Linked DNA regions of Xenopus tropicalis. The protein of the gene in region 1 purifies or fractionates together with the protein of each later gene. This does not show direct contact. Links are inferred from orthologs where the notes say so. Each region holds a gene or a part of one and is shown in the gene's direction. Other genes may lie near its edges.

Region 1 (6,197 bases):
ATGAGAGCACTATTCTAAGCACTTTTGCACTTAGCATTCATTTTTTCCCCAAGATTTGAAGATATTAAGGAGAATGTGTACTGTTAATTTGAATTCATTTTGTAACAACAGCACTAGCTGCTGGTCTGTTTCCTCCTCTGATGTAGTCAAGGAAATTATTAGGTGAAAGATGGTCGAACATAACTTCTCTTACATCTTTCCAAACATCATCATTTTAATATAATCTGGTCCTCAAACATGAAAATGAGAAATTATTGGCCAACTACATTTAATAAATTAGACAGGACTGCTGTAGTAGAAATCACTGCATGGGCTTAGGACTGCTTCCTGAAAATGATTTTGTGTGAACATGGTTAGTCATTGCATCCACAAATACAAGTTAAATCTCTACCACGCAAAAAAGAAATCATAAATAAACTTGATCCAGAAAAACAGCAACTTTCTCTGGACCCAAGCTTATTTAAGATAAACTGAGTTGAAGTGGTGAAGGCTGATGTGATGTGTCCTGTGGTCTGATAAATCAAAATTTAAAATTCTTTTTGGAAATCATAGATGGTGATCATAAATGGTCCTTCTTTTGGGCTAAAGAGAAGGACAGCCCTGCTTGTTATAAGCACACAGTTTAAAATCCAGCATCCATGATGGTATGGGGGGTGCATTAGTGCACACAGAATGGGTAGTTTGCACATCTTGGAAATTATGTTGAAAGATATATGCAGGTTTTAGAGCAAACTATGCTGCTATTCCGATTATGTTTTTTTTTTTTAGGGAAGACCTTGCCTGTTCCAGCAAGACAATGCCAAACTGCATTCTGCATGTGTTACAACAGCAGTCTAACCCTGTCACCCACTGAAATTTTGCACAGTATGAAATAAAAAATACAACTGCTGAGCAGCTGAAATCCTATATCAGGCAGGGGTTGTTAATAGAAGAGGTGATGCAACACAGTGGGAAACATGCCCCAGTCTCAACCTTTTTAGAACTTGCTGCTGGCATTTAATTCAAAATGAATTTGTCATGTTTAATGGGTAAATCTTACAGCTAACCAGGAACACACTGTAGAATTTACCAGTAAACTCATATATAGGAAGGCTTGCACTGTAATTGCACAATGACAGCAATCTCATGCTAGTTTGGTCATCGTCCAAATTATTTCTTCCTTTTAAAATCGCCAGGCATGTCAGTCAGCGGGTAGCTGGTCACCTGTTCAAAAGCAAACATGTTATTGGTTACTATGGGTTACTGCACTCAAAATTAATAAATATTTTATATTTTAGGTTGTGGAATTATTGAATATGGCTGCTCTTGCTACAAATGATTCCAAAATTACCATGCTTAAACAGGTAATAATCAATTCTTTATACCCTGTTTGCCAATACACAAAAGCAGAGAAAAGTCAAATGTAAAATTTTATTCACAGGTTCAAGAACTCATAATAAACAAGGACCCCACTTTGCTGGACAACTTTCTTGATGTAAGTGAGAATTCCAGATTGTCTGTGGTGTATGTTGAATTTTTAACACTCAGTAGTTTAGTGTTTTTAATGTCATTTTTGATCTTGTTTGTATAGGAAATAATTGCTTTTCAAGCAGACAAATCTGTAGAAGTCCGAAAATTTGTGGTAAATTTCATAGAAGAAGCTTGGTGAGTTAACACAGGAACGTAAAGACTTTCATTGAAATACAAAGGTATTTGTAGACTAAAAAGCATGACAACTTCAAAATAAATGTTTTGGATATAACTGGATCTGATTGGATAAAAAAGGGTTTAAAACAATATAATATATGTATAAAAGAAGCTATCTTTAACCTAGACACTGGGAATCCTCTTAGGGGTTGCTGCAGAAGTCATACCTAGTTGCAAATGAGTCACTGGGGCGGAGGGGGGTTTAAGGACATATTGGTATATTGCTATATGCCCTTACATACTGTATACATATATGCTATTCTTACATACCTAAACAAATGTTTCTCAAATAAATGTAAAAGTATTATGTGAATATAATACACAAAAACAATGTACCAAGGCTTATAAAACTGCTTTTCTAAATAGCTAAGGAAATATTTCACAGTTGGTCCAGGTATAGGATCTGTTATCAGGAAACCCATTAAAAAGTTCTGAGTGACTGTGAAGGCCATCTACCATAGACTCTATTTTAAGCAAAGTTCTTACATTTTTTTTTATTTCCTATGGTTTATTCCCCCCCTCCACTTATGTTACTGTATAAAAAGCAAAATAAAAATCAATCACATTCAGTTATATACTTAGAGATTGGCTATCATGATTTTACAATATCAGTATAGAATAAACTGTGATTTATTTCTAAGTATCCTTTTTTGTATTGATATGTTATTTAGTTCAATTGGTTTACTTGTGTCTAAAAACTTTTTTTCCAATAACAACTTAGCACTGATACTTGTAGGCGACTTTGCACTCACTCATCTTTACTTCACTCTTGCCAGTAAACTGGACAATGAGCTTCTGATTAAATTAATCGCCAACCTTCATATGCTACTGAAGGATGAGAATGTCAATGTGGTGAAGAAGTCCATTTTGACCATGACCCAGCTGTATAAAGTGGCCCTTCAGGTAATAATGTGTGTTAATTATTTTGTATTGTCTTGAATTACTTATTTATTGCTGTACACTGTTCATTTTAGGTATTTTACTCACATTGCCAAATTTTAATTAGTATACATTTATAATGAAAAGGTAAGTAAGCTATGATATTGCAGGGTTTTTTATTTTAGATTTTGAAACACCACGTAGTAGAAGAACTTTTTAGGAAACATAGCTATAGGTGTAGACACCTATGGAGAGGGCTATATCTCCCAAAATGATTCACTGTTGCATGACATTAAAGGAGAAATAAAATTACAATCATTGGGGGGGGTGCCAAAATGTTAGGCGCCCCCCAATAATTTTAATCACATACCTGAAGCCCCCAGCTGGTGCTCCTGTTGGGAGAAAACTGCACTGGCCGGGGTGTGCATGAGTGAGCATTCCTCTTCCTCCTTTGGTCTTCGTACATGCGCAGTTGAACTTTTTTTCATCGGTCGGGATAACTATCACTGGGGAGTGCCTAACATTTGCCCCTCCCTACTGATTTAGCCTTTCCTTCCCCTTCAAGTACAAATAATATCAGTAGGGATGCACTGAATCCAGGATTCAACCAAGATTCAGCCTTTTTCAGCAGGATTCGGATTTGGCCAAATCCATGCCTCTGTTCGAACCTAATCCAAATCATGTGACTTTCTGTCAAATAAACATGGAAGTTGAACTTGGTTCCCATGTGCTTTAGTTCAGAGAAAGTATATTGTAGAGAGAAAATTATTTGATAACATTTTGGCATACACACATCCTACAACACTGGCCATGCATCTTGGGTATCTGATGGGAAATTGTCATATAGCAAAACAATGTACAAAAAGCACGAGAAATGCAATTGTAAAATCCTGGAAAGTTTCACTGAAGCCCCTATCAAGGTAGGCTTTGGAACAACTGGATAGGGGGAGACACATGGTCCTTGGGGACCTTGAACCCCAGCTTCACAAGCAAGTCTTGGCCTTCTTCCAGCTACCGTGTGTTGCCTGTTGTTACAGTTGAAGGATAGGCGGAATTGGAAAAGCCAACGATACTGGATCCCACTAATCTATATTTACCCCAATGTTCTGACCTGGAATGATGGTCCTTAGGCTCAGTCACATGAAGACTGAAAGGAGGCTTTGCATTATTGATTAACTCTACCACAACTTCATGCCCTTTTATATACTCTAGAGCATATATGTCAAACACAAGGCCTGGAGGCCAAATCCGGCCCACCTGGCTGTTTTACATGGCCCTTGGTGAGTGTGTCTGACCATCCAGCCTGATCAGTTTCCATTTTCCTCACATAGTAACTAATACTAAGGGGTATATTTATCATGCTGTGTAAAAAATGGAGTGAAGCATTACCAGTGATGTTTCCCAAGGCATCCGATCAGTAATCAGATTTCAACAGTAGCAAAGCATTTATTGGCTGCTATGAGCAACATCACCAGTAATGTCCACTTTTTATACATTGTGATAAATATACCCCTTAGTATCTTACTAAGTATATTAATAAAAAATGTGGCCTGCGACTTAGCCTGTGTTTTAGATTTCGGCCCCCTTATGTGATTGAGTTTGACACCCCTGCTCTAGAGCTTTTACATTTTGTAAATGTTTTGGGAATTTTGCCAATAGTAATTAAATTGTGTTGTCTGTAATCACCAGGTGGTATTTCATAGTGCTCAGAGAATTGGCTTGTGTTCATATTTATATTTTCATCATAAGTTGTCAACTTTGGACTAACATTTTTGGAAGTCTCTTTGTTTCTTGCATCTTTGTCACAGTGTAATTTCTATATCTCCTTGCTTCCTTTTCTTATTGACTGATCTTTCCTGCAGTGGGTTGCTCGCTCCCGCCCTCCATCTGAGCAACAAGAATCCTGCTGGGACCTTGTAACTGAGATGGCTGCAGACATCCTCCTCTTGTTGGAATCGGATAATGATGGCATCCGCACTCATGCAGTAAAGTTTGTAGAAAGTTTGATTGTCACCTTGTCTCCTCGTACCCCTGACAGTGAAGTTCCAAAAAGACAAGAAGGGGACATCAGCCTAGAGCAGATCCCTTCTGACCATGCATTCCTTAAATATAGTGAGTTTATCAATAACTTTTGTCTCTTATGACCCTTTAGCATATATTTTTCTCCTACATTCTCCTTGCCCTTTATTCTTCAGATACACTGCGAGATGTAGGAAAACAGGCTGTGAAGGAACTTCTAAAGTTTATGGCTCACCCTGCTATCTCCAGCATCAACCTTACAGCAGCCCTTGGATCTTTAGCATCGATTGCTCGACAGAGGCCGATGTTTATGGCAGAAGTTATCCAGGCTTATGAGACCCTGCATGGTACGGAAAAACATTGCATGCCCTATTCTAGACTTTAAATTCTCTAATCCCTAAATATTTAAGGCAACTTTATAAAAGTAGTGCTTCCTAGTAATACTGTGACCATGTGTAATATCTGAATCATCATACTTTTAATTTGCCATCCTGTAACCTCTCTCCTCACCTCTACAGCCAACCTACCCCCTACACTAGCAAAGTCCCAAGTGAGCAGTGTGCGTAAAAATCTCAAACTGCAGCTATTGAGTGTACTGCGTCATTCATCATCTTATGAGTACCAGGGGCCTATAAGTACTCTCCTGTTAGACTTGGGTACTAGCCAGGGAGAGATAACCAGACATCTTCCTCCGCCAAGGGACAGCAACCGGAAAAGGGCCAGGGAAGATGGTGAAGGGGGACAAAAGAAGAGCCGCACTGGTAAGATTAATGTTATTGTCAAAACAATACAGTAAAAATAAGTGTTTTTTGTTAGAACAATACAGTGGTGTTAAAAATTGCTTAGGGCAAACAGGTACAAAGCATAAAGATCGACTTTATCCAACATATCACAAGTCTCTCCTTTATATGCAGACATTCCACTGCCTGATGACGATGATGATAAAGACACAATACAGCTTCCCACCATTCCTGCTCCTGCACCAAGCACGCAGTCGGCTACAGACATCACAGCTGAATTCCTGCGCCCACTGCTTTCCCCAGAGAATGTGGCAAACCTGGTTAGTGTAACATTTAAAGTCATTGTGTATTAGATTCCAAGGATGTAGCGATCAGGGATTCAAATGCTCTTGCATGGTTGCATTTACTGGACAAAATAATCTTTTAGGGTGAAAGTACACAGAGCTACTTAGTAGCAGCTATTGTCAGGGCTTCTAAACACCAGAAAATATCCTGCCATAGACAATACTGAGAATTGCCTCTGCTAAAAAACACGTAGAGACCAGTCAGTAAATGATCTGCATTGTCTATTTTTGTACAAGCTGCTACTAGTAGCTCTGTGTGTCTTTATCCTTATATTCTAACTTACAATATAGAGTTTATCTATACAGATATTAAGGTTGTTTTCCCTAAGTATTAAGTGAAGAAAAAAGTACAGTACATTTTTTTTAGTTTAAGTGCCATTTAGAAAACTGTGCAAGCTTCTCTAGATTTCCAACAGTATATTAACATGCATTAAGTATATGTTTTAGATTTGTAATGTAAAGCTTGCCTTGTTACTCAAAGCTTGTTTTTCTCTCATATATATCTTCTACACCGTGGTTTGTTAAGACA
Region 2 (6,197 bases), on another chromosome or scaffold:
AGTTCTTCTCTTTCTGCATCATTTGAAATCCTTGCAGGAGGGACTAAAACATTGATTATACAAATTCTCCACAGCTTACAGACATCAAGCAGGAACTACATAACCCACAATTCATTGCACTATAATGTTTCTTTCCTTATTGACATGATGTCTGCAAGGAATTTTGGGATTTGGAGGATGCAGGCTGAGGCAGTAGACTACTGTTATATTTTATTTGAATCTCAAAGTAGTGATCCAGATAAGGAGGAGAACAGGGGCTAGGCTTAGAACAGTTTAAAACCATATTATTACATTAAAAATCATGAAAAGGCTGCATATCTTTTAATTGATTTATATTGCAAAATTGCTTACACTTTTTGAAAAGTACATCATTTAAGTTGTGTTTGGGTGGAGTTCCCCTTTAAATTATTGTCCACAGACACTTAGCATGAAGTACAGCACAGGGGTGTATTTATTAACATTGGAGATAAACATCACTGGTGATGTTGCCCATACCAAGCTGATCTTTGCTTTTGCTTTCTAACTTGTAGGTGTTTGTCTCCAGTGATAATAAATAATCCCCCAAAATGTTGTTCTTTTGGATGCCCTACAATAGATTGCAAAATATATGCTATTATAAAGAATTAAAGAAATATAATATACAAAATCACTTTATCTCTCTTTATTTCTTTTATATTAGGGATGCACCATTTCCAGAGTTCGATCCTTGGACAAATAAAAGCATTATTTTAAATTGCAAATTAGGGTCCCAGTTTTTGTGGGTATTCTGCCAGTTTTTGAAAATTATGGATTCGGTGCATCACCAATGTACATAGGTAGAGAGAGAATAATATATTTCACTTTTTTAAACTATCTGTCTTATCTGTGCAGGCGGAATGTGTCCGTTTAGACATATCAGTGGGGAGAAGACAGTGGTCTGTAAACATTGGTTACGAGGCCTTTGCAAGAAGGGAGACCAGTGTGAATTTTTGCACGAGTATGATATGACTAAAATGCCAGAGTGCTACTTCTACTCCAAGTTTGGTAAGTGATTGTATTATTTAATAGGTTTTATTGGCATTAAAGTCTATTTTTAAAGGTTATACCTGTGGTGGTCAGTACCTCACTCTTTTTTATATTAAAAAGTTAATGTTTAATTTATTTCTTTTTGTTCTTTTTTCTTCCATAACCAGTGGTGCATGTATTGGCTTATATTATTAACCCTTTACACAAAGCTACTGGGCAGTGTGGTGTATGTTAGGGGATATGGCCAGCACAATCCAGAAAATCTGAACGATTCTTAACAAGACCCCTTTCTAAATTTTTTTTAAGGATTAGTGCACCCACTTTTTCATAAATTCAATGATCAGAGCTTGTGCTAAATATATATATTTGAAGTAAGAATTATGAATGCTTTTTGATTGTTTTCAACCAGATAGCTAGTTTGATAATTACAGCATATTAGTTGAATTATTTTTTGTTTGTATTTGTTAGGTGAGTGCAGTAACAAAGAGTGCCCATTTTTGCATATTGACCCGGAATCAAAGATAAAAGACTGCCCATGGTATGACAGGGGCTTCTGTAAGCACGGTAAGATTATAGGACCTTATAAAATCTTTGCCATTTTATATTGTACAAAGGAATGTCAGTGGCCCTTAATTTATATTATGTCTTTTCAGGGCCCCTCTGTAGGCACCGGCATACTCGAAGAGTAATTTGTGTCAATTACTTGGTGGGATTCTGTATCGAAGGCCCTAACTGTAAATTCATGCAGTGAGTACATTTATTTTCCATCTTCTTCACATGTACTCATTTAGTGACTTTCCAGACATGTGGTATTCATACCTGCTGAATTTGTGTTCTTCCCAAATAACATTTTATAGATTATATTTAGAAAATGTTTGTGTCAAATAGTGAAGGGTAGGGAATTAACAGAATTTGCACAGGTCTGTGCACTCCAAAACAAAGCACAGATATCTGTGTCTGCCCCATAAAATACATTGCTGCCTGTGGTCAGCAGTTCTGTATTTGTGAGGGAGGGACTGGGATAAGAGCTTTTTATGATATCCCCTAGAAAAAAAAAAAGCTCAAATGATTTATAGATAAACTTTTAGTATTGCCTTACTATGTTGTGTTTCCATAGGAGTAAACTGTCAGCAATCTAACTCCACTGCTTTTTTGTATTTGGCCCCAAAACTTTGTATAGGAAAAATGGGGACATACCAGAAGTGTTAGTGTCCCTTTAATGGACAAAGTTATATATGATGAAGACAACCATAGATTTGCTAGTGTTGCCTGAACACTAGCAAGTGATTGTTAAAGCTTATTAATGAGTGTCTTCATTATAATACCCCTTTAAAAAGAGATTATGCTGGAAATATTATCAAACTTTTATGGGGGTTATGAGGGAATTAGACTTACTGTTTTCTTAATATAATTCTGCAGTCCACGTTTTGAATTACCTATGGGAACCACAGAACAGCCGCCTCTACCCCAGCAAACACAGACTCAACAGAAGGTATTTGTCTATTTACACTTTGCAAACTTACACTATGCAAAATTATGGTTTAAGAGTTCTTACAGGTTTATTTTTTATCTCCAGCAAAATAATAACCAGGTGTTACAAAGGTCATCCTCACTCATTCAGCTAACAAGCCAAAACTCTCCTGTCAGCCAACAACGTTCCCCACAGACAATCGGTGTCATGCAGTCACAAAGTGGCAACCAGGGGAACCGGGGACCTAGGCCACTGGACCAAGTTACCTGCTATAAGGTCAGAATTTATCTAATGTATGATCTTTATCTATGATCTTTAAAATAATAGAATTGTTTTTTTTAAAGAATCATTCTGCCTTTCAAAGCATTTGCTCTGTTGAAAAGTTCACCATTGAAAGCTTCTGAAATCTAAGCCCAGATAAATGATTTGTGTTAACACAGGGGGTAAGCCTGAGATATGCAGGGGCATTGCACTTGCTTTTTTTTTTAAAGCACAGCTCTAATCACTGATGCAGTGATCACATGACTAGTGATAAGTGAATCTGTCCCGTTTCGCAGAAAAAATTGCGAATTTTTGAAAAGATTCACAAAAGAGAGGAAATTCTTTGAATTTTCTTGTGGGAAAGTGGGCATCCAACCATTTTAGAGGCTGTTATACATTAATTGAATGTCTATAACTTCGGCAAAGAGAACTAACCCCTAAAAACAAATATGAGCAGAAATGTCATACTTGCATCTATAATTAGCACATAAAAATATATAGCTAAGAAGTAAAATGCACATAAATTTAAAAAATTCAATTGGAGCAGTAGCTAAAACAGTGGCAGGTACTATATTTATAGATGGTTGTACTAACAGGGCAAGAAGGGAAACTACTAATATAAAGAAAAGAGCACCTCAAATAATATGCATTTATACAAATACATAAAAATATTAAAATCAGTACAATAAAACCTTCAAGAGACTAAATCTGATACATTGTCTAGGTAAAGACCATTTATCTGAATTGCCAGACAGTCACATATGAGATATAATAGTGTATGTGACTTTCCAGATTCTATACCTGTAGTGAAATACTACAGGTATAGAATCTATTATCAGCAATGCTTGGGACCTGGGGTTTTCTGATAAGGGATCTTTCTGTAATTTGAATTACCTTACCTTAAAGGACAAGGCAACGCAAAATGTAATTTTTTGCCTAATAAAACAAACCAAAATTCTAAGCACCTTTGCAATATACATTTATTACATGTTTGTAATGGTTTTTGAGTTATTTGTATTTATAATTGCTATTAGAAGCAGTGTTTGCCTGTCCTTTTCTATTCTCTGCTCTGGTGGCTCTGACTGTTGAAACATTGTAACACAAGCCAGCAGACTGACAGACCTGACTTGCTGGAGAAGCAAGACCTTTGCAACATTGTTTAAACTGTAACAACCAGAAGTTCAGCAAATGCAGCTTTCAATAGCAATTATATTTACAAATAACATTTTTAAAGCGCTACAAATTTTTAATTATTTCATATTGGAAAGTTGCTTAGAATTATTATGGTTTCTTTCATTATGCAAAAAATTATTTTTGGGGTTGACATGCCCTTTAAGCCTTCTAAAAATCATGTAAACATTAAATAAACATAGTAGGTTTGTTTAGCCAATAATATTGGCTAAACAATAATAATAATAATAATAATAATATTGGCTTAGTTGCCATCCTGTAATTCAGGATATTGGATTTTAGGATAAGGGGTCCCATACCTGTAGAACATACACATTTGCTGTCCAAAGAAATAATTGCTGATAATTTGTACATAAACGGGACCTGTTATCCAGAATTCTTGTGACCAGATAAGGGGTCTTTCTGTAATTTGGATCTCCACACCTTAAATCTACTAAAAATGTATTTAAACATTAAATAAACCCAATAGGATTATTTTGCCACCAATATGAATTAATTATATCTTCGTTAAGATCAAGTACAAGGTACTGTTTTATAATTACAGAGAATTAGATTTAAATGGAGTCTATGAGAGATGGCCTTCCTGTAATTTGTAGCTTTCTGGATAAAGGGTTTCCGGATAACTAATCCCATACCTATACTTGTTGATCCCCAACCTTTTTTACCCGTGAGCCACATTCAAATGTAAAAAGAGTTGGGGAGCAACACAAGCATAAGACATGTTCCTGGGATTCCAAATAAAAATTGTTATTGGATGTTTGGTAGCCCCTATATGAACTGGAAGCCTACAGGGTGTTCTGTTTGTCAGTACATCTGTTTTTATGCAACTAAAACTTGCCTCCAAGCCAATAATTCAAAAATAAGCACCTGCTTTAAAGCCACTGGGAGCAACATCCAAGGGGTTTCGGAGCAACATGTTGCTCAGGAGCCACTGGTTGGGGATAACTGGGTTACACCCTAAGAAAAAAATTGGTACAAAGCTCAGAGTGCCACTGCACTTAATCTATATTCAAGTAGTTAATTTTGGTATTAAATGTTTCTTTTTCTTTCTTATTGCAGTGTGGTGAGAAAGGACATTATGCCAACAGATGTACAAAAGGTCACTTGGCTTTCTTGAGTGGGCAGTGACAAGTGGTTTGGGGTATGGACATAATTCTTGTAAGGACGCAGTGGACAGACGTTTCCTTTTTAATTTTGACATCAAGATGCTGGAGACTTTTCCTTGTTCTTAAGTAAATATTGGGATATTTTCTGCTATTTACTCTGAGCAGTTTATTGGAATCTTCTCCTGCCAAGAACTGTTTGGCAAAGTGAAAGTTTTTGCCAGTAACTATTTTTTTAAATAAAAAAATGTAAATGTATTTTTATTTCTTTTTATTTCTTTAATATAACTTTTGTACAGATTAGATCAAATGCCAACAGTTCTCTTGAACTTAACATTGTTAATAAAATCTATTTTAGTGATGACTGGAAACTGATTACTGTATCTTAATAGACTTCTAATGAACTAACCAGTGTTACCTATTATTTTAGAAAAAAATGGGTCAAGTTTGATTGAAAACAAAATAGTCATATGAAAAAGTTTGGGAACCCCTCTCAGTCTGCATAATAATTTACGCCACTTTCAACAAAAACGGTAACAGTGGCATGTCTTCATTTCCCAGGAACATCTGAGTACTGGGATGCTTTCTGAACAAAGATTTTTAGTGAAGCAGTATTAAGTTGTATGAAGTTAAATCAAATGTGAAAAACTGGCTGTGCAAAAATTTGGTACCCTTGTAATTTTGCTAATCAAAGGCTATAGGAGGTGTGTAGAGGCTGTTACATTTGCAAAAGGAGGCTCAACTAAGTATTGATGTAATATCTTTGTTAGGGTACCCAAATTTATGCACCTGTCTAATTTTGTTAAGATGCATATTTTCTGTTAATCCAATAAACTTAATGTCACTGCTGAAATACTACTGTTTTCATAAGGCATGTTATATATTAAAAGGAAGTTGCTACTTTAAAAGCTCAGCCAATGATAAACAAAACTCCAAAGAGAAAGAGAGGTTCCCAAACTTTTTCATAAGACTGTACCTTTATTACCCCATTATGTTAGCAGACATGCTCCTTCTGACTCCATATATACACTACATTCTATGGATAATAGGCTCAGAGTGCCACAGAATGTAGATTCGATGTTCTCCAGCACTTCTTGGTGTAAATATGAGCCACTCCTTTATTCCTTTGCCCCAAGCAAAAAGTGGAAGGGAACAGGGCAAAGTAA
Region 3 (5,499 bases), about 16 Mb from region 1:
ATTCAGAGCATCCATAGAAATGTCCCCAATGTTTTGTGTTTCACTTTTAACGTTAGGCCTGAGGATTTCCTAGTACCTGAGTTGCAAGCAACAGAGGATGAAAAGACTAAGCTAGAGTCAGGTTTGACAAATGGAGAAGAGCCAATGGACCAAGACCTGTCTGATGTTCCAACCAAATGTATCTCAGCAACAGAATCAATGGAAATCAAGTTAGTGACTTTAAAACAATTTGTACCAAGTAGTTTAGTGCAAAGCAGTGAATACTTTATGCCCTATGATAGTCTCACTTTTAGTATGGAAGTCTTTCATATTAAACTTTTGCTTTTTCTTCCATAACAGGGCAAGAGTCACATATATTGATTATGAAGGCCGCTCAGATGGTGACTCCATCAAAAAGATCATAAACCAAATGAAGCCGAGACAGTTGATTATTGTGCACGGCCCTCCAGATGCAACTCAGGATCTTGCTGAAGCTTGTAGAGCATTTGGTGGCAAAGATATTAAAGTTTATACCCCCAAACTACATGAAACTGTAGATGCAACAAGTGAAACACACATTTACCAAGTGAGCATGCACAAAAGATTATTCCTTTTTATGTTACGCTATGTAAACAATATTATTTCTTTACAGAAACAGTTCAGTGTAAATATAAATCCTTTTAATCCTGAGCATGCAGGTTAGATTCAAAAGCCAGCTGACTGAATAGTTTTGTCCCTCCCATGTGGCCCCCCCTTTAATTGTCATGGTTAGAGGGATGAAAAGAAGGGAGTAGTGTTCTAGCTATTATGTTAGACATCTGTTCAATCCAGCCTTTATAGATTCCATTTTGGGTTAAATAACTATTGACAACATTTTTTTGTTTAATTTTGCACAGCCTGTTTAACCAGTTTTATTTTTACACTGAACAGTTCCTTTAAATAGGAAACTGTCTTTTTTGAAAATTGTTATTATACCATGTGATGTTTTTTTTTTATGTGGATCACCCAATACCACATGAAAAACAATAGAAGCGGTATTTTCCATATTTTGTGTGTTTTTCATGTTCTGGTTATTCTTTATCAATGTGTGAGTAGTTCTGCAAAGGAGAGTATGCTAAAATTGTGCATGTGATGCATGGGTGCTTGCTGCACATCCCATGGCTTGTACTAGGTTGAGTTTTGTAAATACAATCATCTAAAAGTTTGATTCTTTTGTTCAGGTAAGACTGAAAGATTCCTTGGTTAGCTCCCTTAAGTTCTGCAAAGCTAAAGATACAGAGTTGGCATGGATTGACGGGGTACTGGACATGAGAGTATCAAAAGTAGACACCGGGGTCATATTAGAAGAAGGGGAATTAAAAGATGAAGGGGAAGATTCAGAAATGCAAGTGGATACTCAAGCTTTGGATGCCAGCGCAATAGCACAGCAAAAGGCCATTAAAAGCCTGTTTGGAGATGATGACAAAGAGTTTTCAGAAGAAAGTGAGATCATCCCAACATTGGAGCCATTACCAAGCAATGAGGTTTGCAATATATGTTAAGTGATTGTAATTGCATGGGCTCTATTATGTGGAATGCTTGGGACCTAGGGTTTTCCAGAATTTTTGGATCGTCATATTTTTTTCCACCAACATGGATTTATGCAGCTTGCTTACCATCAAGTACAATGTACTGTCTTATTTTTTAAAGTAAAAAACGAAATAACTGAAATTAAAAAAAAAAAAAAATTGGCTTAAAATGGTTTTTGGATAATAGATCCTTTACCTGTAATGTCTTTTTTCTCCAGTTTCAAAATTCTTAACAGAGCGGCAGCAAGAAGTATCCAGCATGCAAGTCATTTTATTACTGGTTCTAGGAGATGATCATAGTTTTGTGCTTTGGGGGGAAACACTGCAGTGGAGTTAGTGCTTTTCAGGGGTGCATATTTTAGCTCTGTGCTGTTGTAGTGTGTTGATGTTCTTTTGCATGATTAAAGGTAGAAAGTGCCAAAGTAGCGCATTCATTGCCTGTAGACATTACTAATGTCTTTTCTTTATTATTTATGTGTTTAAATTACCTACTCAGCTAGCTAATGATGTTTGCATATTTCTTATATTCTGTATCACCTGTGTTTGTATATGGAAGTAGTATTTGAGTAGTTTAGGTTATTCCAGAGATAGTTAACACTCTTATCTAATGAAGCTGGATGAGAATGCAGCTTTAGTGCATCGATCAAAGGTCAATCATTAGATGCAACTGTGACTTGACTAGGATTCACTAGATCAATCATGTGTCAATGAAGCTTAAACGTAGCACTGCTTATAACTGTTACAAAATAATTTTACTTATAAGATAGAAATGATTTCGGTATAGTCTTAAATATGCTTCGTGATAATCCTAGGGATTTGCACAACCAGATGATGATTCTGTGCTGCTATTTATGGGAGAAGCTTACCATTAAATTAACTTTTTTGTACGTTATAGAATTACTTTTGCAACAATGTTATTCTCCTCCATGGGTTTATAATGCCCAGTCTCAGCATTGAGAACTGCCACCTATCCAAATCCTTGCTTCTCATGCCTATTTCATTTGCAGGAAAAAGGATTCAATGCTGGAACAATATAAATAAAGTTTTACAAGTGCAAAATACAATTACAGCTATGATAAATCACTGCCTCAGTAAAGATTACAAAAAAAAAATTAGACATTTTAAAGCCCTCATTGTGGCTGCAGTAAACATGCATTTATTACTGTTTACAGGTCCCAGGACACCAGTCAGTTTTCATGAATGAACCACGACTGTCAGATTTCAAACAAGTCCTTTTGCGGGAAGGGATTCAGGCTGAATTTGTTGGTGGTGTGCTAGTGTGCAACAATATGGTAGCTGTCCGAAGGGTAAGTCCAGAACTTAATGAATTGCTTGGTTTTATATCCCAAGCTCAGAAGTTCTCTTCCTCAGTCTCTTCCCAATATTATTTCATGCAGTTAGTTTATTTACTTTTATTTAGTAAATGTTACTTGTCAAGAGAACAGATCTAGATATATAAAATGTAAAAATACACCTGATGTGGGCTTAAATTTGCTTTATATTTGAGTATTTTCAGTAAGAGCTGCTCTAAATTTATGTACGTATGTATAACTTTATTTATAAAGCGCATACGGATGCACCAAATCCACTATTTTGGGATTCGGACGAACCCTGAATGGCTGAACCGAATCCAATATGCATATGCAAATCAAGCTACTGACGGGATAAAAAGAACCCTGTGCATGTGGAAAAATGTTTAACTTCTGTGTTTATGTAACAAAAAGTCACATAATTTTAAGGATTCTGATTCGGTTCGACCAGGACCATGGATTCATCTGAGATGGATGTGAAAGTAAAGTTAGAAGAGCAGGAGCTTGCACATAAAGCTTTCAAAACTTCAAGGCACTTGATCGCCCATTGATGCTAGATCCTTTGAAACTTACTGGCATATCTTATAGTGTATTTAGTGATCAATCAGTTAAGTAAAAGAACTGAAAATATGGTAGCCCTATTAGTTAGAGGGTCTGGATCAGAAATCTGTATAAAAATGTAGTATTTCTTTAAAGGCATTTAAGGTGGCATTGGTCTTAATATAATCCTGGGATGTTTGCCTTATTACAAAAAGTGCATTTTGTTAATTTATTTTGCTTTTCTGAAAATGAGTCATTTACACAAACACCAGAAAATATGCTCTGCAGTACCTTCACATTATTTTCATTTAATTGTTTTTTTACTTAATCGTTTTGTTTGTGTAATGTTATTTGTGTTTGTGTAAAATAAAATGCAATCATTTTTTTTATTTTGCAGACGGAAACTGGTCGGATTGGTCTAGAAGGATGCCTTTGTGAGGACTTTTTTAAAATAAGAGAACTTTTATATGAACAATATGCCATCGTGTGAAGAATGTTCATTTAAAAAGGCATGCCATGTAAAAATTACTTCTGGACTGTCCATGCTCATTTTTTTCTTTTTATATTTTTTTTAACCTGGAAAATGCATAGAAAACCGTTGAAATTATAATTTATGTTACAAATCCAGTTTGTCCTCTTTTTGGTTGGAATTTCATATGTTACCCAGGAACACACACAATTACTTTCTCCCCTCTTTGCTTTCACAAGGATCAAAGTAGTTTATTTTTATGAAGTAGATAACAACATGAAGAAAACATGTAAAGGTAGCGAAGGCTATTAAGTTTAAATTTTGTTCTCATTGGAGGAAGTTCCTGCTTCGTTGGTCCTGGCTGGGACAGGTTTAATTGGAGTTTACGACTGCTCTGTTTGATATTAACACACCATGTTTGGCAGTAAAGATGCGGCATGGCATGTTTGGACCTCTCTGTACCTGAAATACCAAAGCCTGGTTTGAGTCTGAGTCTGAGTCTGGACCTGGGTTAAATACCTGGTGATTTAAAATTTAAAGTAGTCATAAGCCAAAGTACAGTGGGCTTCAGTTTTTAAAATTATTGTTGTTATAAATAGCCATGCCCTGTTGAAACACTCTTACACATAACCATAACCCTGATCTGCTCCAAACCATTTAATTGTGCACCAGGCTCCAAGTATTTTGGGGGACCTATGAATCTGGTTCATCTCATCTGTCTGGGCCCCTAACAGGATGTTCACTTATCCCTTTCTTGGGGCAGCCCTGTAAACAGAGTGTATATACCAGGGATCCCCAACCTTTTATACCCACGAGCCACATTTAAATGGAAAAAGTTGGGGAACAACACAAGCATGAAAAAGGTTCCTGGGGGTGCCAATAAGCTATAATTGGCTACTTAATAGCCCCTACATGGACTGGCAGCCTACAGAAGGCCCTGTTTGACATTATACTTGTTTTTTATGCAACCAAAACTTGCCTCCTTACCAGAAATTAAAAAATAATCACCTGCTTTGAGGCCACGGGGAGCAACATCCAGTGGGTTGGGGAGCAACATGTTCCTCACGAGCCACTGGTTGGGGAACACTGGTATATACCATGCAGGTTCCAACACTCCTTAGCACTTTTTAGGTGCTGCTGCCACATTCAGTTAGTGCTATATCTGTGTATATCTAATATATCACTTACGTAAGGTATTAAAAAATCTGTACTGGAAGTAAACCCTTTAACTCTTTACATGCTGCAGGTTTTTTATCTTGTACTTCATGCTTTCAGTAAACATAGAATGTCACAAATTACAGGGAAACCTATTCTTCATGGCGCTTCTGCAACTTTAGAAAAGTACCTGTGTTTTCCTGAAAATGTACTGCCACGCACAACTAATAATTTTTCAACAGAATCTATTTATAAAAGTTATTAATACATATACTGTAAATTTAAGTGAGAAATATTTTTTCCTGCTGTAGGCAAATTTGGATATTGCTTATAAGATTTTATTATGAGGATTATTAGAGGTGATAACTGTACTTAAAGGGGAAGGAAAGGTAAAAACTAAGTAAGCTTTATCAGATAGGTCTATGTAAATACAGCCATATGCATTTACAGTAATGCTGCACTGAATCCTCTATCAAAA
Region 4 (5,680 bases), on another chromosome or scaffold:
ACAAATCAAATGTTTGGTTTTAATTGTTCTACCTCCAGGTGGGTAAAAGAAATTAATCACTAATTGGTTGCTTTGAGTTGCAATAAGACAGGGGAGAGCCAGTATTGCAGATACGAACGTCATGTATATTATAGAGCCCCTGGCTGCTTTGGCTCTGCTAGACAATAAGAAGGGAAAGTGAGAGTAAGGGGAGCTACGGTAGATTATTGTTCAGGGTTTTTATAGAAACTGGAATGACATGGTATGCTAAACAAATGTATTTCCTTCTATTGTATAACATTATATTTAAAATCAAGGTATATGTCATCTTTAATCAACTTAATGTAATGTGATTTAATGTAGTATAGCTAACTGTAATTCTCTGTTTTTCTGTCTGTAGGTTATACTGACTTGGCCATGAGCACCGTCACGCAGAAACAGGCCATTCCATATACTGGCCCTTTTAACCTTCTGTCTTGCCAGTTACAGCAGCTTACAGGTAACATCCTTTCTTATATATACACAAAGGGTCATCTCTGCCCTGCCTGACCCCTGTGACATTCATTTCTGTGATGGGCTGATACAGGACAGTGGAATCGCATTGAGTGATAAAGCCATAAAACATTACATTTGCCCTGGGGCCCCAGTGTCTGAGAATGTCCCTAGTTAAAGTGGAAATTATATAATATTGTTATGTGTAAGGTCATTGAGGGTGCTGTTTTAGTGAACCTGTCACTGAAGGACAGTAGATAGTCTATCCCCATGTACTTAATGTTTTCTTAGGTTGGGAAATGAGGCATTCTGACTTACCCAGGGCCCCGAGGGTAGGATCCATTTTGGCAAACCTAAGACTGCAATCCAAATGGTGATCCATTTTTATCACCAACATTCTCCCAAGTGACGGGTTTTATTGGGAGCTATTGATTATAGACTGGAGAGCAGGGAAACCACTCAGCTAGCCCTGTCCTTAAAATACATTTACTTTTCCATGTCAGCTGTGTTGCACACTAGCATACATCTAGTTTGTATTATAGGGAGATACGGCCATATTGGTTAATGAGGTAGGGACTCCTGACTGATATAGAGAGAATGGCTACAACTGGCAAATACAATATGCCATCTGCTTCTGTCCCATAACCTGCCGGCCTTTCCCTGCTTCCCCCCTGATCTCCAATTCATCTCTACATACTATATACTCATTTCCCAGTCTGTCTGACCTCTCTGCATGCTCCCTAATTTCCATGTCTTGTTCCCCAATCTTTGTAGCCACCCCATCTCTTTTCAATATCATGTGAAATGATGAAAATGTATATGACAGAAATGTATATTGCATGTATTGTATAGGACTTGGCATTAAAACCAACAGGTGCTGCCAGGGCATGGGCATCAGGCAGACCTGCTATAATAAGCCTTTCTCTCTCTCCTTTCAGGGGATGTGGAAGAGATTGAAGTGAATGAGAAAGATGCACTGAGGGTATTCAAAGCTGTCACTGTTGTGAGGGACGCTGGGATGGTGTACCTGGAGGTAACTTTATATCTCACTCTGTTCCCCTGCTACTAATATCTGCCTTGTGGGAGAAACAGTTGTAATAGTGGTACCCACTATGGTTGCTCTGGTATTTTATCAGTGTGAGTGGAGCTGCCATATTGTGTATCTGGGTTGACCCACTCTCCATATAGAAAACAGGCAATGTATCTGGCAATGTGCCTGATCCCAAGGGATAATATCAGCTTTAAAGAGTCTGTGAACATTTATAGGGCCAGTTGGTAATGGCACTTGGCTTGTATTTCATATTCATTTAACATGTGCAATGTTCTTTCTCTCAGTGGGTAGCAAATCCAGCCAATGACATGTATGCAGACACCGTAATCACAGTCATCTTGGAGCTTCAGTCTAATCCAAAAGCCAATAAAGGTTTGTGTTGCATAATGATTTGTCTTGTGCTTACTCCCAGCTGTCTAAATGGAAGTACAACTAAGGAACCAACAACTCTAGAGAAACTGTCCCCCCCCTATAGGCTAATGAGATGGTTGATAAATGGTTATTTGTCAGTACAATAAACAAACAGGATGTATTTTCTTTGTCTCTTGCAGCTGTAGCCACTAGAGCATCCAAGGAAGTGGATATGGACGCCTACAGGAAGAGGCTGGAGATGATGCTGCAGTAAGGCATATTCTCCATATGGTAACATAGTTGTCCCCTCAGCATTATTCTAGAGCCAATGTGACCCACTTACTTTAGTTGGTACCAGCTGTGGAACCCATTGTTCACATTACCTTACCCAGAACAAACATTAATTCTCAATGTCTGTGTCAGGAACAGGGATCTCTGGATGCAAGTGGTGATTGAACCGCACAACCACCACTTGCATCCGGAGATCCCTGTTCCTGACACATATTCCCCCATCGAAGTCTGCTCCCAGTACATTGGCACCCCTTGAAAAGATGTTCCATATCCCAGATTGTCTATGGGGCTTTGGTAGATACCAAGCTCACAGCTGTAATAACTACACATGGCTTTCCTAAATATTTCATATTCTTCATTTCAGGGATATTTTTGGTGACGATTGTGTGAATTGCGAGGATGCCAGCAGTATCACAGTCACTGTGGATGGAAAGAGCGCCATTTTGTCCATGGAAACACGGGTAGGTGTCCTAACATTTCATAGATTTGAAAAAGAATAGCACCTCCATGAGCACTTTTGCCAGGCAAGATGGCTGAACTCAAGCTGTTTCATTGGAACAGGCCCAGTCTGGCAATGTGTAGGTTCTGGTAAACACACCATAGACAGTCACTATTTATTGGGGCTGCTTAGATTTGAAAGGACAGTTTTGGTTTAATTCTCAGTGTGCACCTAAGCGGAGAAGGAAAAGGAGGAAAATAAACCAGGGTTTCTAGGTGGTTTTACATGGAAATGAAATAAAGAAGGATAAAAAGTTGTGACACAAGGGAAGAGCAGGGGCAAATATTGTAAGGCATAGAGCCAAGTGTTCTCCAGTAGTGACGACCCCACCTTGTGCAGGGGGAGCACTGGAATATTTACAGCATTACCCTGTATAGCCACTGCCCCCCAGGGTTCCTTAGAAAGTGGTTCCAGGGCAGTCACTCCTGTATGAAATCCCCAAAGGCAGCTGTGCTTATGGCCCTAACCTGAGAATATCTCATTGACTTTCTGTTTTGTTCCTCAGACTGTGGAATATGAGGAAGGAATTGATGAGGACGAGACCCTGCGGGAGATGGTCCAGCAGGCAGCACAGAGACTGTATGACGCCCTTTGCCCAGCCAGCCTCTAAACCAGCATGCCATTCTTTTGTAGTTTGTTTTTTTAATATGAAATGTTTTTCATTCCTTTGTAAGATGTAAATCAAATTGTACTTACTGTTCTGAAGTAAAGCACAAAATGTCATTAATTTATCACTAAAAACACTGTGATTGGTTTATAAATAATATCAGAGTTGTCCTTTATTCATATATTGGTGTTCTGTTTATTGTGGAAGCGCCTTATACATCATGCACTTTGGCAAACGGTTGTACAGAAGGATTCCAGAGCTGCTTATGTCCCACCTTAAACAAGAAAGGGTCGGAACTAAGGGTTACCGAGAAGCCGGGAGGTGCCTCTCAGGGCAGAATGTTCATAGCACGAGGCTCAAGTGCAGCCTGCACATAATACAACACACAATAAAGTGCAGAAGATGGTTGATTTACAGGAGCGCCCTCTGCTGTTCTGCCAGTCACTATGGCAAAGGCTTCATTTACTGATAATGGAAGTGTTCCCCGATGCTCCCCTGCTCTGCTCAGTGCTCTCAAGCAGACTATCCAGCAATCAGTACATGTAAATAAGGTCTGCTTGTGGCTTTTTTCTCTACTAGGTGCAGGACATAGAGAAGAAGGGGAACACTACCCAACAACTACATAATTCCACTGAAAAGGGGCCACAGGCACTGCACGACTCAGGCTAGCACTGTGAGAGCTTTGAGCCCCAATAAACTATAATATTATAGGTGAAAAAATTAGACCATACATTAAACTTCATTCTATTTAGGTTTATTCTCTTTACATAAATAGATGGTCATTAATATTTTTAAGCAGCTGCTCGTCCGTATTACAGGAGACATTATATTCCAGGTTTATCCCTTCCAGCTGGCTAGTTTCTAGATCCATTTCACATATTTTCGCAGTAGATTAGAATATACCTCCCTTTAAGTTCTGGGTAGCTATTACTGCACCATTGCTATCATAAACCCAGTGACATTGTTTTGCCAGCAATATTGATTTATGCAGCATAGTTACCATACTGTTAATTATTATAGAGAAAAAATTAGAATTATTTGCTTAAAATGAACTCCAGGGAAGGTAACGGGTTTCCGGGATCCCGTACTTGTCATACCTTGCCATATTTTTTTTTCTGACCTTAAAAGTGGGTCTACAGAACCTAGTCCTGAAAGAATCTGATGCAGGGCTCCTTCACCAACAAGCCTGAAGTTCCCTGGTCCTTTGGCTGATGTAACTGCAGGGAGAAACAATACTTGAGGAATAAGTGCTTCATGTCTGACTTCCCCAAAGGTTCAAATTGGAAATCACTAGGTTTTGCTTAAAGGAGAAGGAAATGTTAGGCACCCCCAAGTGACTTAGATCGCTTACCTTTTACCCCGGGCTGGTGCCCCTGTACGGAGAGAACAGCACCAGCCCGGGGTAGCAGCGAGCGCTTCCTCCTTCCTTTTCGCTTGCGCGCACATGCGCAGTAGAGTGAAAAGCCGAACTTAAACAAGAAAGTCGGCTTTTCACTCTATTGCGCATGAGCTGACCGATGGATTTCGCCGGCAGAAGAGAGAGGAAGGAGGAAGCGCTTCCTACAGGTACCCCAGACTGGTGATTTTTTCCCCTAACAGGGGCACCAGCCCGGGGTACAAGGTAAGCGGTTAAAGTCACTTGGGGGAGCCTAACATTTTGGCACCCCAAGTGACTTAGCCTTTCCTTCCCTTTTAAGGGCTGTGGCACACGGGAAGATTAGTTGCCCTGTGACAAATCTTTGTTGTCGCGGGCGACTGATCTCCCCGCAATGCCATCCTACCGTCTAGAATGTAAATCGCCGGTGGGAAGGCATATGCGTCGCTGTGATTTCCGGAAGTCGCCCAAAGTTTCCTCTTAGGGCTGTAGCAGACGGGGAGATTAGACAGATCTCCCTTGTCGCGGGCGACTAATCTCCCCGAAATGCCATCCCACCGGCGAGTATGTAAATCGCCGGTGGGATGGCATTTCGGGGGGAAAAGTCGCCCGCAACAGTGAAGATTTGTTTGCGGGCAATTAATCTCCCTGTGTGCCACTGCCCAAAGGGTGAAGACACACAGAGCTACTAGTAGCAGCTACTTTTTCAAGGCTACTAAATAACAGAAAATCCCCTGCCATAGACAATACTAAGAATTGCCTCTGCTAAAACACAGGTAGAGACAATGATCAGCATTGTCTATTTTAGTAGCCGCGACAAGTAGCTGCTACTAGTAGTTCCCGTACTTTTTACTGTGTTGGGTGTGGGTATTTTACAAGACCTTTGCGTAAAACAGGAGCAAAGAAGGAGGAGGTGGATTCTTATAGCTTCGTAATTCTGTCTCTTCCTAATATTCTACCAAATAAGCAAAGGCCGTATGTTTTTTGCAATTGGATGCTAGGCAGCAGGGGGCGCTGTTCCCCGTTCCTGGGCAG
Region 5 (6,706 bases), on another chromosome or scaffold:
TATATATATAAATTGTACACTCCCAAATGCAGGATAACTAAAAACAAATTTATTCTATAAAACCTACCTTAATTAGAAACCAGATTAAAATCTCATATTATGTACAAATCAACAGTTTCTCCTTCCTTAACATGTTATAGTCCAGGGAGCGCTTAAACAGTGCGTATTATGATAATGTGTGTATATGTATATTGTTAATGTTATATGTATTTATATGTATTATGAGATTTTAATCTGTTGTTTTCCATATGGAATAAAGTTTGCTTTTAAAGGAGACATATCATATAAAAATTAAGAATGTACCAGAGAATTATACTCCTCTAAATATAGGATTGTGCTTAAAAAAGTTATATATTGAGACATTCCACCTAAACCCCAGTAGTCCCGCCCACCTGTTCCACTTCCTGCTGACTGAATTCTCTGGATGTGCAGGGGAGCCGGCGGCTCTCAGTACATTGCACTGTAGGATAGGAACCAATCAGCAGCTAGGTTGACCTGATAGGGAACTGAAGCCTGTCTTTGCTTGTGTGAGTGCAGGGCTGTGATTGGCTCTCCCCCTCCTGCTGTACTTCTGGCAGGGACTGTTAGGACACACCCACCCTTTATTTGAAACACAGACAGAGACCTGATTGGATCTATAGGGAGCTACAATAAAGGGGCCATGTTTACAGACTGTATTTAATTTTAGCCCAAACTGAAACCAGCACCATCTAATATTCATAATTATCCTATTAGCAGGAGAGAATTGTATCCACATCCACTCCATAAGCTTACTACTGTATTATTCATAATTGCCTACAAAATTAGAGTTTTTCCATTCATCCAATATGTCTCCTTTAATTATTCTCCGCTTAGAGCATGTTTTTTGTTTTTATTTTATGTTCCCTGATAAGGGGTAACATATTAACATGACGTATATTTGCCATTAGATCATGTGATCATGGCGCCGCTGCTCAGTGCCTGAAAGAAGCAAGAAGAATGAATGAAGTGTGTTAACGCTGCTGCTGGTTTAAATGTATTCTGACTAAAATTGATTCAGTCGCTGGTAATTGGAATACAAAGACTGAGAAAATTGCTGAAAACTTTAAATTGGAAAAAAAAACTTGACTCGAAGTCACAGTTAATCATTTTTTTTAAACTTTGTTTTTAAAAATATAGCTTGAATGCTCAAAATACACTTTCTGCTGACTTCTATAGAAGATCACCACGTTTTAGCAGCCTAATTTTATTTATTTAAATTTCTAATGATAAATCTTGAAAATTCCCATGCGGAAAACTCAAAAATGTATTTATCATGGTGTTACCTGTACCCAAGCTGTCCATGCAAAAAATGTAGGAAACCACTGGCTAACCTTGAAAGACGGGTGCCGAACCTCCCTTCCAAGTCCCTTGTGATCCAGTACTTCAGTTCATGCTTTCGTGTGGGCAAACATTACATAGTCCTCCAGCTGCACATGTAGGCCAAATGTGCATATAGAAAAGGAATATGCCCAAGCACAAACAGAGATGGAACAATAAAGTGTCTAATGATTGAGCACCACTCTGTGTTCTTTGTACAGTGGATAGAAAATTCTCTGAAATAAATTCAAAAAATGCTCTGAACAAATATACAAGTATCTATATTGGCAGTGATAAATAGCTTTGAGTAGATTCCAAGCTCTGTAGCATTTTGGGGGCTATTTATGGCACCCAAAAAAAATGTCCACAGGTATCCAGAAACATGATATCCAGAAAGCTCCTATATCCAAAAACCTGATATCCAGATTTCTAGAGTTCATGTAAGCAAATAATTATTTATTTATTTATTTATTTTAAGATTTGCTTTTTCTCTTTAATAATAAAACATTAGATTCTTTTAGGTGGTAACTAAGCTGCATAAAACTGTACTGGTGGCAAAACTATCCTATTGGGCTGAGACACACAGGCAACACTTTCAGATTTTTGAAGGGTAGGGGCAGATTCTCGGCCTGAGGATGTGCAGGAAAAGAATCTGCCCCATGTGGCACTAGCCTAAAATAATATTTGCTATGTATACCAGTAAGTTATAGTTATGCCGCTGACACTGTAACTGTATGCCAAGCCTGTAGTGAGAAGTCCCTGTATTTAAAAGTGTGTGTATGACCTTCATACCCATTAGTTAGCAGCTATGCTGAATCCAGTGGGTTTCACCATAGTATAAAAAGTCCTAGGCCTATTTAGATTTTGGAAAAGTTATTAGGAGCATTTTTGTGCAACAAAGTATGATTTCTAACATTCTAAAAATAACCGTTGTTTCATACAATATGGAATTCTAACTTCTTTAAAGGGTTATTGACACTTGACATTCACAAGATTGGTACAGCCACGCCACAGTATTTCTACCATATAGGTTGCTCTCTGCTTCCCCTAGGCTCTGGGTTACTGTATCGTTTTGGGGAAAGTGTCAGGTAAGTTAGCCTTTAAATCCATCTCCTTGGCCAATTCTGACAATAAAGAAAACGTTCTATGTGCGCACACTCAGAAACACGGATTAAAAGAATGGAGCAAGGTTTTATCCATACATTATTCGGGTTTGCGTGTATAACGTATACACATGGCAATCTGGCCAGGGCTAATAGGTGCGCAATAAATAAACATATTGATTCGTTTGTTTTATTTATTTCTTTAATAAAAGCGCCGATAGGTTTCGTCTCCAACGCATAATCCTAACAACTAACAAAGTATAATAAGTATTACTGTCACTGCAAACACAACAACCTGTTGCTACAAGTAACATGAACAACCAGAGCCAGAACAATTTCCCATTACCCCAGCACAGTGGGCAACTCAAGCAGCACGTCCCTAGCAGCACCTTTACTTCCCCTTTAGCAAGCGCTCTCCCGGCAGGTGCAGCCAATAAGCCGCACAGCAGTTGGGGGCAGGGGCTATAAATGCGCCCCTCCCGGCCCAGTTGGCTGTTGCAAATACGAGACCGAAGCAGTGCCATTGTCTAGTGGGGGAAAAAGTCACTGCATGCAAGTCCAATTTGGATTTAAGTTTTAATTACCCAACCCTGACCAGGATCCTGTGCCATGGCCTTCCCACTGGTAAGGCAGTTTAAACGCTAGTTTGTATTTGGAGGTTGTAGTGAAGGTATGGCCTTAAATACGAGTGCAGCCAAATTGGAATGGACTATATACTAGATCCGTGTGTTTACTTGCTAGTTTTGCGTTAACTTGTGCTTATGTGCAAATGGTGGCGGAGGTTCATGCTGTGCGTGACAATTACTCCATGCACACTGCATTGCGCCACTAGGCTAGTAGTATTGCGGGAGGCCTGGGATAGCCATGCTGAGTGACTAATATTCACTTAAATGACTTGTATTTTAAATGGCTTTATATAAATCCGAGTAGTCTGCAAAAAGCACCTTAATTTAATACAAACTGGCAATGTCAGCTATTTTAAGTCTTGGATGAAAGCATGGCTGCATAGATGAAATGCCTGGTAGGCATACATATATACTTGTATAAGTGTATTATCGCTGCAAGTCGGTGTGTTCTCGGCCTACAGTAGGCCATCTAACCTGCAGCTTTCCAGTTATTGTTGGAGCAGAACTGGTCTCCGTCTCTTGGGGCTCAGGGAGTAACAACTGGGGAACTGCTGCCTAGACATCAGAAAGCTCTAGAACCCTGATATCGGAGACAAATTAGTTATTTGTCTACAGTAATGGCATTCACGCGTTAATGTGTTATTTCAATATACAGATTTTTCCCTGCAAACCTACATGCTTGCCTAGAAGGTCTGGCTGTCAACGACTGTACGTGCCTCGGATACACGGTATTTCCCCTGCATTACAGGCATAGGTCGGATCTTGGCCACTACTATTTGCAGGCTGATTGCATGGTTGATACAATTCCCAGTGGAATCAATCGCATCGTGGAGAACACACCGTCCCTGCCAAGTAATACCTTGAGCCTACCCCTTGCTCAGACTCCAGTTGCTGGCGCTGCACATACACCGGCATGGTGTTGGCAAAAGGCGCAGATGGTGGTTAGTCAGGCCAGCATGAGGGATAAGCATGTGTAGCTCCGGCTTTAGTAAGGGCTCCATTGGCTTGGTGATTTAGTGACTTTGACCTTATAGTTATATCTCTGCATTACGTTTAATATACTGGCGGTCGCCTTCGCCGGGGCGCAAACCCTGGTGACGCCGCAAATTGTGGGGGCGCCAGAAATAAGCATTATGATGGAATGCACTTTACGGACTCTCAGTAACAGAACTTTATGCTGCTGCTATACTTGCCAACTGGTAACGGTACCAAGTGTCCTAAGATGCCCGTTTATATGTAGCTTTCCTGCAGATGGCGGCTGTTCACGTCTAGTTGGACAACAGTCCTACACTTTTCCTAACATTAGAAGCCTAAGCCTTACACTCTGAGTTATGTCAACAGGGGCATAAAGAAGTGTATTTGTAAGGAGCTAGAGTAGTGTTTATATAACTGAACTTGTAGTTGTCCTTCGGTGGAACAAGTTTTGCAGAGTTGACTGATGCTTGAACATTGGGTTTCAGTGACCTGCAATACAAACCTTTAATTCCCTGCGCTCAATAAAACACACACAACATAACCTTGCGGCGATTATGGCGTAGGGGACGGGTGACCGGCAGTGCGCTAGGGTGCACACAGGTAACCGGCACAGTGGGTGTGAGGGTGGCGCGCAGTTGCAGGTGCTGCCGCCTCGTGTGCGCACACGTGTGGCCCCGCCCCGTTGCCAGAGAGCCGCATGCGGTGGGAGGAAGCGGGAAAGCTGCAGCCAGAGCCCTACGCCATGTGGTCCCGACAGGTACTTCAGCTGCCTTGTAGTTGGCTAGTGAGCGTGTTCTGGTTGGAATGGTAGGGGCACTGTACGTGCAGCTGGGCTTATGCAGCCTCCGTGTCAGAGAAACAGTTTTCCATGGAACTGCGGGAGCAGCCGCTGCTTAGTAGGCTCTTCTCTTTAGCTTCCGAAGCTTTAGGAAACGGCGTGTCCCGACACTGGGATGGCCCAATGCATGCTGAGGGAGACTTTTAAGCCCATTGCTGGCTTCAGTGTGTAAGTGGGGTACCATAGGGATGTCTAACATGGTACCCCACTTCCACACGGGATGCTAAACAGTCCCTGCCGCCTTACCCTCAGCCGTTGTGATGTTACTCCTTTTTCCAAACTCTATTTAGAGATAAAATAAGTGAAGCCTATTTCTTTGAAACATTGGTTGGACTTAAAAAATATTGGGGGGGGGGGATTGTAATTAAAAATAGCAAGTGCTGTGTACAATGGCATTTTTGCCAATGTATAGTGCACCTATTACACTGCATTTATTGCATTGCCAAACCTTAACAATTGAAGATGGTGGAAACCTTAATGTGACAATTGGTTAGGATGCTTTTACATGCACTGGCACTTGCGCAACTATATATGCACATAATTTGTCTGTTGCAGGACAAATTGTTTGCAAATGTTGTTTTTCTGTCCTGCAGATGCAGAATTTGTCTCAAAGCTAAAATTCTGTCCCGTTGCAACCTTTTTCTGTTGGTGACATGTATTAGTCTCCCATTGGGTTTTAAGGCATTTTTGTACCTTTTTTTCATGTAAAGGTTTTCATCTTTCTCTATGAAACCAGTCACACAGTGCCAAGTGGGCCAGACGGTTGAATGGCTTTGTCAGGCTCAGCCATTGCACCTCTTCATGACTGCCATGTTTTACGCAGGATTTGTGACAAAACTCTGATTTGTTAGATGTATAACAAGACTGCTGTTTCGGCCACTCCTGAAGCCAAACTGAGAGAGGCTGCAGGAGCGGCCGAAACGTCAGTCTTGTTATACATCTAACAAATCAGAGTTTTGTCACAAATCCTGTGTGAAGCGGCCCATTTTTTCCTATTTGTATATGAGGTAATTAGCTTGGTAAGGAGTATCCTGATGCTGAAGGGGTCACAGTATGTCCTACTATGAAGACCAACAACTATAGTGTGACAGGATTGCAGCGCTGTTAATTCTCCCAACTGGGATATAAAACTTTGAGGAACTGTTCAGCAGAACTGCAGCTGCCAGATATTGTATGATGATGTGCTGCTTATTTTGTTACATTGTAATACTTGTACCAAGGCAGCAGCCATACCCTCCCACTCTTTGACATGTATTTTTTTTTTTTTTACCATGGGTAAACCTTTTACTTGTGCACATGCAGCCCCATCCCTGGTTGCCACATGGGTGATGCTAATTGCAAAAAAAAAAAAAATTTTTAACTTGCTAGTCTGAAAGTCAATATATGAATTAGATGTGCAGTGTATTTGAAATCATTGGCTTTAGTAGGTTTTTGAGCATTTGATGCCAAAGTATGAAATAAGCATTGGGTGTTAGTTCAGGTCAGGAAAAACTTAACCCACATTTGACCCTAACCCTCAAAACCATAACCTCACCCTAACCTGCAAAATGTTGCCATTGTAGGACCCAGCCTGTAGCCTCAACTTTCTTCTCTGTATGCTACTTCTGCACGGTTTCAAGACAAGGAAATATTTGGGAGCAGAGGAAGTGTGTACTTCCCAAGTCTGACCTGTACCAATCCTGAACCTGAAATGGTCGCCCAAATTTCAGCTCTGACCCGCCTAACCTAAGGGTAAACCCACAGGTCCCGTGGCTTGAGGGTCAATCTAAACATCACTATTGGGCATACCTTACCTTTGAGGACATAACAAACCATTCTTGATTTAA

What was found.
Region 2: the proteins of sympk (region 1) and cpsf4 purify together in Homo sapiens (affinity purification with mass spectrometry; 4 studies listed by BioGRID and IntAct, counting the BioPlex papers as one, with this or other methods). This does not show direct contact. The link is inferred for Xenopus tropicalis from reciprocal best matches to the Homo sapiens genes SYMPK and CPSF4.
Region 3: the proteins of sympk (region 1) and cpsf2 purify together in Homo sapiens (co-immunoprecipitation; 8 studies listed by BioGRID and IntAct, with this or other methods). This does not show direct contact. The link is inferred for Xenopus tropicalis from reciprocal best matches to the Homo sapiens genes SYMPK and CPSF2.
Region 4: the proteins of sympk (region 1) and cpsf3 fractionate together in Homo sapiens (co-fractionation; 6 studies listed by BioGRID and IntAct, with this or other methods). This does not show direct contact. The link is inferred for Xenopus tropicalis from reciprocal best matches to the Homo sapiens genes SYMPK and CPSF3.
Region 5: the proteins of sympk (region 1) and cpeb1 purify together in Homo sapiens (affinity purification with mass spectrometry; 3 studies listed by BioGRID and IntAct, counting the BioPlex papers as one, with this or other methods). This does not show direct contact. The link is inferred for Xenopus tropicalis from reciprocal best matches to the Homo sapiens genes SYMPK and CPEB1.

The regions. Positions count from the first base shown.
Region 1 is NC_030684.2:70,984,118-70,990,314, forward strand, and holds part of sympk (symplekin), read left to right. Parts: intron 1-1,277; coding exon 1,278-1,343; intron 1,344-1,420; coding exon 1,421-1,474; intron 1,475-1,570; coding exon 1,571-1,644; intron 1,645-2,462; coding exon 2,463-2,589; intron 2,590-4,427; coding exon 4,428-4,677; intron 4,678-4,760; coding exon 4,761-4,931; intron 4,932-5,102; coding exon 5,103-5,345; intron 5,346-5,498; coding exon 5,499-5,644; intron 5,645-6,197. UniProt on the Homo sapiens protein: Scaffold protein that functions as a component of a multimolecular complex involved in histone mRNA 3'-end processing. Specific component of the tight junction (TJ) plaque, but might not be an exclusively junctional component. May have a house-keeping rule.
Region 2 is NC_030685.2:47,253,290-47,259,486, reverse strand, and holds the end of cpsf4 (cleavage and polyadenylation specificity factor subunit 4), read left to right. Parts: intron 1-870; coding exon 871-1,023; intron 1,024-1,473; coding exon 1,474-1,569; intron 1,570-1,628; coding exon of another isoform or gene 1,629-1,658; coding exon 1,659-1,752; intron 1,753-2,424; coding exon 2,425-2,497; intron 2,498-2,581; coding exon 2,582-2,752; intron 2,753-4,987; coding exon 4,988-5,056; 3' UTR 5,057-5,402; downstream 5,403-6,197. UniProt on the Homo sapiens protein: Component of the cleavage and polyadenylation specificity factor (CPSF) complex that play a key role in pre-mRNA 3'-end formation, recognizing the AAUAAA signal sequence and interacting with poly(A) polymerase and other factors to bring about cleavage and poly(A) addition.
Region 3 is NC_030684.2:87,345,186-87,350,684, forward strand, and holds the end of cpsf2 (cleavage and polyadenylation specificity factor subunit 2), read left to right. Parts: intron 1-56; coding exon 57-209; intron 210-339; coding exon 340-565; intron 566-1,199; coding exon 1,200-1,502; intron 1,503-2,719; coding exon 2,720-2,854; intron 2,855-3,794; coding exon 3,795-3,887; 3' UTR 3,888-4,020; downstream 4,021-5,499. UniProt on the Homo sapiens protein: Component of the cleavage and polyadenylation specificity factor (CPSF) complex that play a key role in pre-mRNA 3'-end formation, recognizing the AAUAAA signal sequence and interacting with poly(A) polymerase and other factors to bring about cleavage and poly(A) addition.
Region 4 is NC_030681.2:137,816,316-137,821,995, forward strand, and holds the end of cpsf3 (cleavage and polyadenylation specificity factor subunit 3), read left to right. Parts: intron 1-379; coding exon 380-478; intron 479-1,409; coding exon 1,410-1,504; intron 1,505-1,806; coding exon 1,807-1,894; intron 1,895-2,073; coding exon 2,074-2,143; intron 2,144-2,528; coding exon 2,529-2,625; intron 2,626-3,168; coding exon 3,169-3,273; 3' UTR 3,274-3,451; downstream 3,452-5,680. UniProt on the Homo sapiens protein: Component of the cleavage and polyadenylation specificity factor (CPSF) complex that plays a key role in pre-mRNA 3'-end formation, recognizing the AAUAAA signal sequence and interacting with poly(A) polymerase and other factors to bring about cleavage and poly(A) addition.
Region 5 is NC_030679.2:94,723,307-94,730,012, reverse strand, and holds the start of cpeb1 (cytoplasmic polyadenylation element-binding protein 1), read left to right. Parts: upstream 1-2,974; 5' UTR 2,975-3,050; coding exon 3,051-3,065; intron 3,066-6,706.